Mus musculus: one gene and its partner. The protein of the gene in region 1 purifies or fractionates together with the protein of each later gene. This does not show direct contact. Links are inferred from orthologs where the notes say so. Each region holds a gene or a part of one and is shown on either strand. Other genes may lie near its edges. The genes, in order: Tmprss6 and Hjv.

Evidence for each region.
Region 2: the proteins of Tmprss6 (region 1) and Hjv purify together in Homo sapiens (co-immunoprecipitation; 3 studies listed by IntAct). This does not show direct contact. The link is inferred for Mus musculus from reciprocal best matches to the Homo sapiens genes TMPRSS6 and HJV.

The regions. Positions count from the first base shown.
Region 1 is NC_000081.6:78,449,872-78,456,487, reverse strand, and holds part of Tmprss6 (transmembrane protease serine 6), read left to right. Parts: intron 1-1,369; coding exon 1,370-1,574; intron 1,575-2,206; coding exon 2,207-2,343; intron 2,344-3,583; coding exon 3,584-3,696; intron 3,697-3,902; coding exon 3,903-4,012; intron 4,013-6,616. UniProt on the Homo sapiens protein: Membrane-bound serine protease. Through the cleavage of cell surface hemojuvelin (HJV), a regulator of the expression of the iron absorption-regulating hormone hepicidin/HAMP, plays a role in iron homeostasis.
Region 2 is NC_000069.6:96,522,369-96,529,510, reverse strand, and holds Hjv (hemojuvelin precursor), read right to left. Parts: upstream 4,327-7,142; 5' UTR 4,181-4,326; intron 3,101-4,180; exon of another isoform or gene 3,083-3,100; 5' UTR 2,997-3,082; coding exon 2,909-2,996; intron 2,477-2,908; coding exon 1,929-2,476; intron 1,448-1,928; coding exon 821-1,447; 3' UTR 295-820; downstream 1-294. UniProt on the Homo sapiens protein: Acts as a bone morphogenetic protein (BMP) coreceptor. Through enhancement of BMP signaling regulates hepcidin (HAMP) expression and regulates iron homeostasis.

The DNA of each region.
Region 1 (6,616 bases):
TCTCTCCCTTCCCCAGGCAGATTCCTAGGCAGCCTCTGTGCCCAGGAGGCATGTATCACACTAGAGTCTGGCTGGCCAGGGCAGGAGAGGGAGCAGGACCCTACCTGGCCCTCGTCATCACACAGAGTGGATAGGGCAAGGGTTATGTTTATGTATGCCAGAACTCAGGGTGGCTAAGCTACTGGCCAGAGTCACACAGCTGACGCATGCCGGTGCCAGGATGGTACAAACAGCCTTCCCTCCCCCAACCCCACCCGTCTCAGGTTCCCTGAGCCTGCTGGCAGAGCTCCTGGTCTCCCTGCTTCAGGAAGCCGAAGGCCCGGCTTAATGGGTTCTCAGCTTTGCTATCTCTGGCATCCAAGCTTGTGGATTAAACGAGCTTTAAGTAAATTAAATTTTATAAGTGCACTTAATTTATTATGCTTAATCAGGAGACTAAATGTATTAAATTAAGTTGAGTTTAATGGAAGGATATCCTGGGGTGTGGAGTCTGGTGAGACACAAAACAAGTTGTGAAATGAGGGTAGCTATTGACTGGGGCTGAGCCTTAGCTCCAGGGGACAGCTGTGGAGTGACAACTCAGCTGGGGGTCAGGGGGAGTCACAAGAAGACTCATTGCTTTTATTCAATGCTTATGGCTTTTATTCAGCATTTCTGGCTCCATGCTATGTGTCCCAGCATGGACTGTCCCCAGGCTGTGGCAGCCCCATGAGTGTGGGCCGCTGTCCTCAGTATACAGGTGGGAAAGCCAGCCTCCCAGGGTAGAAATTCCAGAGAACTGCTAAGGGCAGGGAACAGGATGGTGGGTGCAAGACCCAGGCCTCACAGCATCCCTGAGTGTTTGGCACTGGGTGGATGGGGCAGCCCACTGCTGGTCTTACAGCCTGCACAGTGTCACTCCAGGGGGACCCACGCCAGACTGTATAGCCTTGCCCTGCTTCACCTTCTTTGGCTCCTTGTGGCCACAGGACAGAGCAGTGCTGGTCCTGATGTGATCTGGTCTGCCACCTTCTCCCTCCCTATCTTGTCCTCCTGCAATGCCTGCTCTGTGTTAAGACTCTGCAAAGCTCCCCCCAGGCCTCTCTGCTTCTTGCCATCTATACACCTTGGGCTCGGTCCAAGGTCTTCATCTTCTGTGCTATCTTTGCCGGGCACTCTTCCTGGCCCACAAGGCTCTGTGCGTTTGTTAAACGATTGAATGAGTGTGTGAGTCAGAGGCTGGGCAGGGAAGCTACAGAGGGAAGAAAGGTGGGTACCCAAGCCTGGCCTAGCCCCTCTCCTCCCTGCCTGCTACCATGGCTGGAGAAGGCTTTGTGGCCATTCCCAGTCTCTCTTTCTGGCTAAGGGCTCTGTCCTTTTCTACCTCCAGGCTGTTATCGCTACAGCTATGTGAACCCAGGCCAGGTCCTCCCATTGAAGGGGCCTGACCAGCAGACCACAAGCTGCCTGTGGCATCTGCAAGGGCCCGAAGACCTCATGATCAAAGTGCGGCTGGAGTGGACCCGGGTCGATTGCAGAGACAGGGTGGCGATGTACGACGCAGCTGGGCCCCTGGAGAAGAGACTTATCACCTCGTGAGTCCCTCCCTGAAGGGCTGAGGGAGTCCCAGGGTCAAAGGCCACACTTTGCATTGGAGCCTCAGCCTCAGGCCCATATGGATGCTGTGGAGAGCAGTGGGAAGGGAGGCTACAAGGTTGTGTGCCAAGCAGTGGTCTCCAATTTCTTCTCAGAGCCTCAGTTTTCCCATCTGGATGTAACTAACCAGTTGTAGGGTGATCTCTAAGGTCAACTCTGGGAAGGCACATGGCTTGTTAGAACATTCTAGAATCTGGCAGCAGTCTGGTATTTCAACCAGCACTCTTGCTGCATCCTAACTGTGTCCCTTAAAACACAGTGCTTGCCCCTTTGAGCCTCAGTTTTTCTCATCTGTAAAATGGGTGTATACTCTTGCGCACCATTTTCTGATATAGACAATATTGAAGATATGCAGCCATTGTGTCCCTCATTCTGTACTGGGTAGCTGGGGACCTCTAGGGCCCCAACCATCTCCTCCAAGATGGACACGGGGGTGCTGAACCTGGAAGACCCTGCAGGAAATGGGGCTGGCAGTGCTGAGTTGTGCCATTGTTTGATGCCAGGGGACAAGGTGGTGTCATTTCTGTGTCTCTTGGATCATACCATCTTGTACACTTCTCTGCTCCATCAGGGTCTATGGGTGCAGCCGCCAGGAACCTGTGATGGAGGTGCTGGCATCGGGCTCCGTCATGGCCGTGGTGTGGAAAAAGGGCATGCATAGCTACTATGACCCTTTCCTGCTCTCAGTGAAGTCTGTGGCCTTCCAGGGTGAGAGTCTCCAAGGATGGAGGGGGGCACAGACAGGAACCCTGGTCTCTGGTGGCATGTCCTATGCCTTCTCTGTCCTATCAGCGATAGAGTGGCTCTGGAAGCCTTCAGTGAGCCGCAGTCCCTCCCCTCCCTTCCTACCTCTCTCTCCCTTTGTCCTTCACTCTCCTCCCAGGGCCCTGGCAGCCTCCAGCAAAGGTATCTGTCCTGGCAGACCCCAAGAGGTCTTGGCTCATCCCCAGCCTCAGTCAATTCTTCCTGCCTCTCACTTCCCATCCTACCCCTCCCTGCCCCCAATCTGTCCTCTGGGTTAGCAGAATTAACTTGAGGACCCTGCCTGAGCTATAGCTGGACTTCTCGTTAGAGCCGCTTGCCGTTTCTAGCTGCCATTCCTCTGAAGGTGTCTGATGGTTCTTCTTATTCTCCTGGGTCATCCCTGGGCTCTCCCACAGGCCTCCAGCTGGCCCTGCAGATGTGACAACTGGTGTTCACTTGGGTTCTCAGGCACCATAGTCTCATAGGAAAAACCAAGGAAGGGTTTGGGGCTCTGGACCCCCAGGGACAGGTGACCTGAGAACCCAAAGTCACACTGCTCTGCTGCTTCCACCCCTGAGCCTCTTACTGAGTGACTTGGCCAAGCCTCCCTCCTCTCCTGGAACTCTTATTAGTGTGTGTGCATATGTGTTATGTATGTATACATGTGTGTGTCGTGTGTATGGGGTGCACATGTGTGTGTGTTTTACATGTTGTGTGGTGTGTGTGGTATGGGTGGTATGTGTGTGTGGTGTGTGTATGGCATGGTGTGTGTATGTGCATGTGTGTGTACATATGTGTGTTTCTCTATGTGCATGTGTGTACATACATGTGCATATGTATGTGTGCATTGCTGGGATGGACCTCGGGGCCTTCACACATGTTAAGCAAATGCTCTAGTGTGGAGTCACACCCTCAGCTCCTCCCTCTTTGCAAAGGCAGCAGCTCTCCCTCTCCAGCTGCCCTGAGAGCATATTTTGCATACTGTTAAGTTTAGTGTGCTTGCCACTCAGCAGATGGAACGTGCTGTGTCCATCACATCTACTCGCTGCTGAGCTTTGTACTCTTCTCTCCATTTTGTGGATGTGGAAACTGAGGCACACTTACATAGCCATGTTGGGCCCTGAGCTTTGCTGTTAGTGGGGTGCAGTGAGACACTGGGGGGGGGCAGGAAGGGGCCCATCCTAATGGCTGTTCTTGGACTCAGACTGCCAGGTGAACCTGACACTGGAGGGCCGGCTGGACACACAGGGCTTCCTCCGTACACCCTACTACCCCAGTTACTACTCTCCCAGTACCCACTGCTCCTGGCATCTCACGGTGAGTTCCTCTCCTCCTGCAGCCTGCCCTGTGCCCAGAGCAATCCTTAGGGCTTCAGGGACAGGAGGAGTGACATCCCACCTGGCCCAAGTACTCACAGGCTAAGTACAAGGTGGAAGGGTGGGGCTAGTTTATCGGAACAGGCACATGCCCAAGCTCGCCCACACCCGCTATGCCGCACACGATTGCCTGCCCTCCTTTCCCAGGTACCCTCTCTGGACTACGGCTTGGCGCTCTGGTTCGATGCCTACGCACTGAGGAGGCAGAAGTACAACCGACTGTGTACTCAGGGCCAGTGGATGATCCAGAACAGGAGGTAGCCTTCCCCTCCCCATCACTCGGACCTCATGCTCCTACCCATGCTGGGCCTGGGGGGTAGCAGAGGGTGGTGAGCGGAGGCTGAAGACAGCAAAGTCTCTCCTGACTATCCATCCTGTCCTGACTGTCCCTCCTGTCCTGACCAGCCTTTCCCCAGATACCCAGCAGGCTCCAGCACGCATTTCACCATCCTGTCCGTCCCAGTCAGGGTAAATGGTGGAGCTGCCTTGACTTCTGTAACCACATGGCTCTACCAACGATGGGGACAGGGCACAGGGCACTTGAGAGCACATGGCCTTTCTTCCACTCCCCTACAGTCCGAGGACGCCATTGTCTTTGCTGCCGTTGACTTCCATGGGGACAGTAGCTCTCAGGGTTACCCTGTGTATTTGTGTTCCCTGCAGTGTCCTGCCTGTTCGCTTGGCCTCCTGGCAAGGAGGTGTCTAGCTAAGAACGTCCTCTTGGGAGCTTGCAGGGGGCAGAGGGAGCTGTGAAGTGACGTGTGTGTGTGTGTGTGTGTGTGTTGGGGGCTAGCCAGAAGGATGAAGATGGACAGTCCTCTTGGGCCAGCAACTGAGGATACCGCTAAGCCCCATTTGCCCATTAGTTGATCTTATTCTAGATAGAGGGTGGCAAGGAGTGACAAAGCTGGATTTTTCCAATATGTTGGGGACAGTGACAAAAAGGAGGTAAACTGTCCGAGATGTGATGTGAGTCCGTGCTGTCGTAGCAACAGGCTACTGTGTGACATAAGCCTGATATGCCTAGGGGTCAGAAGGTCTGCATGGGGAAGGGCGCTGTCTTGTGTGCCCTTCTTCATGTGGCTCCCTCAGCCACCAGCCCACTCCGGGAGCTGCTTACTGGCTTCTGGTTTCGGCACCAGAGCCCATGACTGGAGTTTTCTGAATGAAGGTGCTGTGTTTTCAGCCATGACCCCTCCCTGAGTGTTGTCACTATCTCTGAGAGGCCAGAGGGAGAGGGAATAGCCTTGGGCCTAGCACTCTCTTGCAGCCTGTGCCTAAGGCCCATTAGTCTAGGTTGATCCTGTGCCAAGTGTTGTGGGGCCCCAGAGCTCAGTTTCTGCACAACAGAAACACTAGCTTCACCGGGGTAACTCAGATGGGTCACAGTAAGGCTCCTCCCAGTGGTTGTCAGTCACAGGCAGTTAGACTGGGGCTCAAAGCCTGGCTCCCCTGGTTCCTTCTTGGGCAAGACTTACCTCTCCCAGCCTCTGGAACTTATCTGAGTGTGCTGAGACTGGGATGGACTCTGAGGACGAAGTGCTCACCTAACATAGCATGATTTCTGGGCTCCACCTGGTAGCCCCCAATAAGAAAGAAAGAAAGAAAGAAAGAAAGAAAGAAAGAAAGAAAGAAAGAAAGAAAGAAAGAAAGAAAGAAAGAAAGGAAGGAAGCCATGGACATGCAAGATGGCTGAGTGGGTTAAGAGGCTTGCCGGCAAGTTTGAGGACCTGAGTTCAGTCCCTGGAACCAACATGGTGGAAGGAGGGGACTGACTCCCAGAAGTCATTGCTTCCCCTCCACAGACCTGCTGTCCCAAACAAGAGTGTGTTCTATTACACAGAAACAAACAAAGCAAAGGGCCTGGAACGAGACGCCTTCCACTGGAGACTAAATAAGATGGTGGGTGGAGACGGTACCAACCACAATCGCTAAATGGCTCTTACTCGGTGCCACACAGGTGTGGAAAGCGATTATGTGCTCCCCACAGTCGAGCAAGGGAGGCGGACTCAGATCCTGTCCTTAACCTGCTTTCTGCGGCTGTAACAAAATTGCCAAGGCAGGGAAGTTTATAAAGAATAGAGGTTTGTGCAGCTCCTGGTGGCGAAGGCTGGAAGTCTAAGAAAGCAGCATAAGACTCTGGCTTTCTGCTGAGTCATAGTGGGACAGAGGGTGTCAGGAGATGAGGCAGGGCCGAAGGGGCTTGCCTGATGGTGCAGGGTAGGGGTGGGGGCTTGAGGCCACCCACCAGTGCTTCCTTTATCTGCTAGATGAATGCATTCACCAGGTACAGCCCCTTCCTGACCCAATCACTTCCCTGAATGCCCTTCCTCCAAACGCCACTAGCCTAAGACATTGGAGAATCCAAGTGTGAATTTTGGTTTCAAGTATGAATTCCAGGGACTCACAGTTGAACGAGCCTCACAGCTTGTGGGAAGCCTGAGGCCCAGAGGCTGAGTCATTTGCTAAAAGTCCCTGTGGCTTGTGACGTCATCACTGAGCTCAGGCAGCTGGCCGGCCCCCAGGGCATGATTGCCCAGCCGTGTGTGTGTGTGTGTGTGTGTGTGTGTGTGTGTGTGTGTGTGTGTGTGTGTGTGTGTGTGAGAGAGAGAGAGAGAGAGAGAGAGAGAGAGAGAGGAAAAGAGCACTCAGTTGTACACTTAATTGTATGGTGTCTCCTCAGGAAGGCTCTCATCTCTCAGTAGAGCCATTCCCAGCCGATGGGAGATCAGGGCATCTCTGTGGCTCTCACCAGTTCCTCTGAAAGCAGCTGGGAAAGTTGCACCTCATCTCAGCCCTTCCCCTGGGATACAGGGTCCCCAGTGGAGAGTTAACTCCTTGCTCCATACAGTGAATGCCCT
Region 2 (7,142 bases), on another chromosome or scaffold:
AAGAATTACACACTCCTCCACCCACTTCAACCCCAGCGCTTGAGGAGTAGAGACAGTTGGACAGCAATGCAAGGCCAGCCTGGACTACATGAGGCTCCCCCGAAAATAAAAAACAAATGTAATAATACTCATGACTCCTTCCTATGAACCAGTTTTTTTTCTCTCCAACAACCTGTAGACTCCAAGAGGGAGGAGACAATAGCTGGTAACTGCAAGGCCTCTTTCAGTGGGGTGAACACACAGCCTCAACTCCATGCCACATCTGCAAAGGGATTTAAAAGAGGCAACAGAGGACAGGATGGAGAACTAATCGCTTTAATAACAGATTAGGAAGGGATGGAAATGCCCGTTTCTGAGTTGGTGCCAGTCTCCAAAAGCTGACTTCCTCTGCCAGACAATGCCCACTTCGTTTCTGAACCAAAAGCTTTTCCTAATTAGCTTCTCCTCTTTTGACTTTCTCAAAGAGAATCATGTTTTTGCCTTTACGATATCTCAGTCCTTTAATGTTTCACTGGTCATTAGCACTCTCACAATCTCTAGGCTTGTAGGAGTGGTATCAGGTGTATGGAGAGTGGAATTTCATTACAAGTGGGAAATCACTAACTGGGAAATCCATGGTGAATAGCCCACACCAAGGTCTGGAGTGCAAAACCCTGGCCCAGAATCTTTATTCTAGGGTCATTTCAGCCCTGGACTGCAACCTCATCTGATTGAGTAAGTGTTGTCTCCTGTCCCCGCTGTTTCCTTTGGCACATCTTTGTGGTTTCTCACACCAACCTCTATCCTCAAATCGTTTCCAAACCAGTCATGGGTTGCTGGCCTACTTACTGAAGCAAAGCCACAGAACAAAGAGGGCCGAAAGAAGCGGGACTAGGCAGATGGCAGGAGAGAGGGGAGGCCCCGCATCTGAGGGAAAGAGATGTAAGTTCTCTAAATCCGTCAAGAAGATTCGGGCATCGTCCAGAGCTGTCTGAGCTGCCACAGTAAAGTTGGGGTCACCGGAGACTGAAACATCAAAGACGCAGGATTGGAAGTAGGCATCTTCAACCGGAAGCCCTTCCTTACACAGCCTTCTGGCAGTATCTATGGCTATAGCCCCACGGCGGTTGCGCTCTGAGCGAGAGAGTCGCTGGCTCGGAGGGCATCCCCCAACACACAGCTGTAGGTCCTGCTCTGCGGAGAAGGCCCGCGCCACATCCTCTGCTACCCTGATGGAGAAGGAGAGCTGCCCAGCTGTCTGTCGAATGATGATAGTTGTTCCAATGTAGGCAGCTCGAATCTCCACGTGACTCCCAAGGTTAGCAGTTTGAATGGACAAACTCGAGCCCCCAGGTCGGTCGCCCCCATTGATAGAACCATCTTCAAAGGCTGCAGGAAGATTGTCCACCTCAGCCTGGTAGACTTTCTGGTCAATGCATTCCTGCATGTTTTTAAATATGATAGTGATCTATGAGGACAAGAGAGAAAATACTTCATTAGGGCCCAAAGCATCCTCACGCCAATCAAGCTGCATAGAGAGTCAGGGATCCGATCCCAGCAGAAATGCGAGTTTCTTCCGGGTCCTCAGTCCTTGATCCTATCCCCTACTGTGTTCCATTAATAGTGCCTGACCCCCACTCAACCTCCTAATATCTCTCTCCCTATGCCTCTCTCTATCTGCCTCTCTCCCTCTCCCTCCCTCTCTCTCTCTCCTTTTTGTCTCAGTCTCAGCAACTCCCAAGTTACTTGCTTTGAAAGAAATTCCTGAATTACATTTACAAGAGCAAATGTTTGATGGAAGGAAGCCATTCAGGATGGAAGGGAATGTTTGGGAAAGACAAGAACAGGGAGCTGGGTGGCTGAATAGTGGGAAGAAGAAGGAGTGGTATGGCGGACAGACCGTGAGAGGGCTCAAGAAATTGTGTTGGGATGAAAATCGAATCTCTGACCTTCCGGATGGTGGTAGCGTTGGCTCCCGACGAAACCGGGGAGCTGGTGGCCTGGACAAAGAGGAAGTCGTTATCTAGCAAGGGCCAAGCTCCTTGGACACGGCATGTGTGAAATTGGTTGTGGAAACTGCGCACATGGGGATCTCCAAAGGATGCGCAATGCAAGAAGCCCGGGGCTCGACCGTGCAGCCTGGAAAACCGGGCCTCATAGTCACAGGGATCTGGGGTCAGGGGCGCTGGCCCGGCCCCGGGCAGGGCGGGGCCCCGGGCCGGGGGCGGGGCCGTGGGACCCTGGCGTGAGCAGTTGTGCTGGATCATCAGGTCCTCTATGCCATGCACCGCAGAGTGGAAAGCAAGGTCCCCGCGGCAGGTGCGGGCCGTGCGCCGCGTGCAGAGAGCGTAGGAGCGCAGGGCGCGACACAAGCCACCTGAGGCCAGCCCACCACGGCCGCCTCCACGCGGCGTGTCCGGTGAGCCACCTCCCCGAAGACTCAGAGTGGACGAGACATACTCGGCATTGCAGCGGAGGATCTTGCACTGGGAGTGAGCTGGGGACGGAAGGGAGAGGGCAGTGAAATGAGACACAGGTTCTATCCAAGTCCAGTATGCACCTAACTGCCAAAAACCATCCGCCATCCCACCGTTCCTACCACTCAGCGTGGCCGCTTTCCCAATCTCAACCTTCATTCTCCCAATCCTTGCCTCCTTCCCTCCTTTCCTCTACTAAAAACGTGTAAAGCAGTCAGACTTCTTTTCCCTGGGGTCTAAGGACGCCATCTGTGTCCTTCTTCAAGTTAAATGGGAAACAAGACAGGCCTCTTTCAGAGTTGGGAGGTGCTGGGACTCAGCACACATCCCTCCTCACTCTCCCCCCACCCCCCACACCCCCACACCCCCACCCACCCCCACCCCCGCGCGCTCATTCCTACCCAGCATCCTAACCTCTGGATATGTCCAACCCTTCCCTGGCCCTTCCTTACCCTGTCCACAGAGGAGCAGCAGGAGAGTGAGGGTGCTTAGAGTTGGAGGGCTGCCGTGGGGGGACCGGGGACTAGGGGACTGGCCCATACCTATCCAGCCAGGTCCCCCCAGGCACCGGTTCTTCCCAGATGATGAGCCTCCTACCTAGTGAATTTCTCTGGGTACTTCTGTGACTGGAAGAAGAAATTTGGCTGAGTGTGGGGAAAGAGAAGGGTTGGAGACCAGTCAAGATGGTGGGTAGAGAGAGCATCTGAAGAGACCAAAACAAAAATGAGACAGACTGGATCTTGGGAAGAAGGAGGCTTCCAGAGGGTGAGCGTGGCTGGTGAGCCTCTGTGCCCTGCCCCTGCGGCCACCTTCAGGTCCCTTGTGCAATATGCCTACGGGGGCGGGGTGGTGGTGGAGGGAAGGTTGAGTGACCTCAGTGTGCAGAGTCCAGTGTACTGCCCCATCCTGACTACCAAATAGCAGATGTGCCAAAAATGGAGGACCCCTAGAGAAAGTGAGGTTCTGACCATGTCAGTGGGTCCCCAGTAGCACCAGGATCTGATCACGCTTTAAGAACATACTTCTTATGGATCCTTCCCACCAGAAACCACCTGCCGTTTCATTTTCTTCACTGTGTTAGAAGGGCACAAAGGGTAACATGGTAGGCAGACGCCCTGTCTACGATATCACCTTCCCAGTGAAAGGAGAGCCGGTCTCTCAGCCTCTCCAGAGGGCTGACAGTACGATCCCTCTCACAGGATGGGGTACAAATCAAGCATTCAAATTAATATATGTTTCTGTCTAACAGTTCATGTGTTTTTCCAGACCCAGCTGAAAAGCCCAATCCAGACACTCCTGGTCTTTTGAGGAGAACAGATATGGGGGAGGGTCTGTCTCCTTTTCTCCTGTCAAAACCCTACTTTGGGATAAGCATATGAGCAGGAGGTCAGAGAGGTCTTGAGGTAGGGATGGGAGTGTAACTCGATGGTAGCTGAGTGTTTACCATGCTCAAGGCCCTGGGCCCAGTCCTTAGCACTGCCCCCTCCCCCTCTCCCAAGGTCTTGGTGTAATAAGATGGAGAGGAAAATAGGAAAGCCAGAGAGAGGCAGCATTAAACATCAAATGGCCATGGATTAGAAAACATCTAGGCAAGAGGAAAAGTGAAGACTGGGGTAGTTGCTAAGGGGAGATCTTAGTTTTCAGAACAGATGTCTGTAACTTTATGAAGTTCTGGCCTTGACCCAAAAGCTTATCAAAGTGATCGACATTTCATCTGGACTTACTGTTTCCCGAGGTCAAGCATTACTCTGATACTGGGTTCTCGAGCCATAGTTGCCTATTCTGTTGGTCTGCTCCAGCCAGGGGGTCCCCCATCTCTTTCTCCATGATTGCCCCGGAATGGCTGCAGTCTCACTCAGGTCAGAGAGCCAGAGGAGGTTTGGTGTGGGGGGAGGGGGGAGGGAGAGTATATGGTTGGCCCAAGTACTGGACAGCTGAGAGGAGGAGGGAGGTGCCTACTGAGTTGACAGTTTTAAAAATAGCTAGGTCCAAAATTCCAGGAACGTTGGTGGCAGTGGGGTGTGGGAGCTAAGGCAGCAGGAACGATGAGCAAAATAAGGATGGAATATGGAAATATTGGATACCAAGGGAGGGAGAGTATAAAGAAAGATGATGGCCAAGTCATATATCCAACTGTAGCTTATAAGCTGCCACTCAGGCCCTCCAGCATTCCCAGTAATGAACTCAGTATTCCCAGTAATGCCTTTAAGACTGCTGGTGGTGATTTTGTGTGATGCCAGTCACTCACTGCTCTCATCCTCTCTTTACTGAGGATTCCATTGAATTTCTTCTACACATAATACACTGAGGTGGCCGGCTTTGAAGATGGACGGCAAGCATAGTTCAGAGACCCTCCCCCATCTCTGCCAACTATTTCAGAAGCTGAAAGGTCCAGCTGTCCCGAGAAATCCGAGAGCAGAATTGTTTCGAGAAGGGTTTATTCCGTCTGCCCAGATCAGATCTCTGCAGCTGTCTACTCTCTCTCCACCTTTTCCATTACACTAGTTTGTGCAACAATCCCTCCTCCCTCCTCCTCATCAATACAAACACAAAAAACAGAAGCTTCCAGGTTGCAGGGGCCGGGGCCGGGGTAGTAACAGAGGCAGAGAGAAGAATCGGAGTCAGTTTTGAACACTACTGATCCACAGAGGAGTGGCGTTAGATAGGTGAATTCAGAAGGAAGACATTTGGGAATATACTTTTATAGACAAACTGTTTGAAGATTCAATTATAATCAGGGTTTTAGCTATGTCCGTCTTTTCACCTGGTGGCATTTCTGGGACACTGTCCCACAGTACTTGCCAAGGGAAAGCAGCACAGGACTGATTACAAAGTGTGTCACAAAAGCTTCTGGCCCTGTCAGCTCTACATGAAGTTCTACAGGTCCACATGGTACATGGTCCCTTCTCAGGCACGCATACACACACACACACACACACACACACACACTTTACAAGAGAAGTGTGGGAGCACATGTATTTTTTATAATGAATTTAGCTTTTTCTCAACTATACAAGACCATATCACAATAATCTTTTACATTAAGTTATTTAGAACATGTCTGTCTCTGTGTGTCTGTGTGTACCTATGTGGATGTCAGAAACGTTATAGGAGTCAATTCTTTCCTCCCACCATGTGGGCGTTAGGGGCCAAATGTGAGGTTTGGTAGCTAGTTCCTCTACCTACCTGCTGAGCCATTTCACCAGCCCACATCCCAAGAACTTTTATTCCATAAAATTTCCCTGCACTGGATGGTTGGGTGTGTCAACTTGACACAGGCTGGAGTTATCACAGAGAAAGGAGCCTCCCTTGAGGAAGTGCCTCCATGAGATCCAGCTGTAAGCATTTTCTCAATTAGTGATCAAGTGGGGCGAGCCCTGCCCATTGTGGGTGGGACCATCTCTGGGCTGGTAGTCTTAGTTCTATAAGAGAGCAAGCTGGGCAAGCCAGGGGAAGCAAGCCAGTAAGTAACATCCCTCCATGGCCTCTGCATCAGCTCCTGCTTCCTGACCTGCTTGAGTTCCAGTCCTGACTTCCTTTGGTGATGAACAGCAATGTGGAAGTGTAAGCTGAATAAACCCTTTCCTCCCCAATTTGCTTCTTGGTCATGATGTTTTGTGTAGGAATACACACCCTGACTAAGACATCCCCCAACTAAATTAATCAAGTGACTTTAAGACATACTAGGTTGTCTATAAAATGCAAAGTGGCATATACTCTGAAACCCAAAATACGTGCAAAAAAAAAACAGTTTCTTGAGGCTGGAAGGATGGTTTAGTGGTTGAAGCACTTGCTGCTCCTACAGGGAATTCAGGTTCCACTTCTATCACCCACATGATAGCTCATTACTAACTGTAATTCCAGTTTAGGAGCTCCAATACCCTCAGTTGACCTCTAATGGCTTCTGCACACAGTTAGTGCACAGACATACATACATTCAGGCCACATACACATACATGTGGTGCACATACACACATACACTCAGGCATACACATATGCACATAAAATTTAAAAAATAAAAATATTTTTAAGGAATCAGTTGTTTTGAAACAGAGTGTTGTTATATGTGTGGTCCCAGCTGGCTTAGAACCTTTTATGTTGGCCAGATGATTTAGATAATTACCCTGAAGGTGCTGGGTTATAGGCAGGGGCCACTGTGCCCAACTAGTACCAAAGTATTTTACAGTCCTCACTATCATTGACAGTGGCGTTGGTATTATTCTGGAACTATTTTGAGTTTGCTGTGGGCTTAAAAAGAAATTAAGGAAGGCTGGAGAGATGGAGCCACAGTTGAGAGCACCTGCTGGTTTTACAAGGGACCTGAGTTTGGTTCCCCGAATCCACGTCAGGGGCTCCAGGAGAGTCAATGCTCTCTTCTGGTCCCCTTGGGAACTACTCAACCCACACACAGACACACATTCAAAAATAAAACCTTATTTTTAAGTAATAATGGTGGGGTTTTGGTTTGGTTTTGTTTGAAACAGAGTTTCACCATATAGCCTAGGCTGGCCTGAAACTTGCGATCCTCCTGTCTCAACTTCCTGGGTGCTATAATTACAGGTGGCCAATTCTTGGACTTTAGAGAGCCATGATATTTGATGTGGGATAGAAATACTGATTCATGTTGATAAGTAAAAACTCCCGTAATTCAAATCTAAACTGCTCCAGGGGACCTGGAGCCTCCTT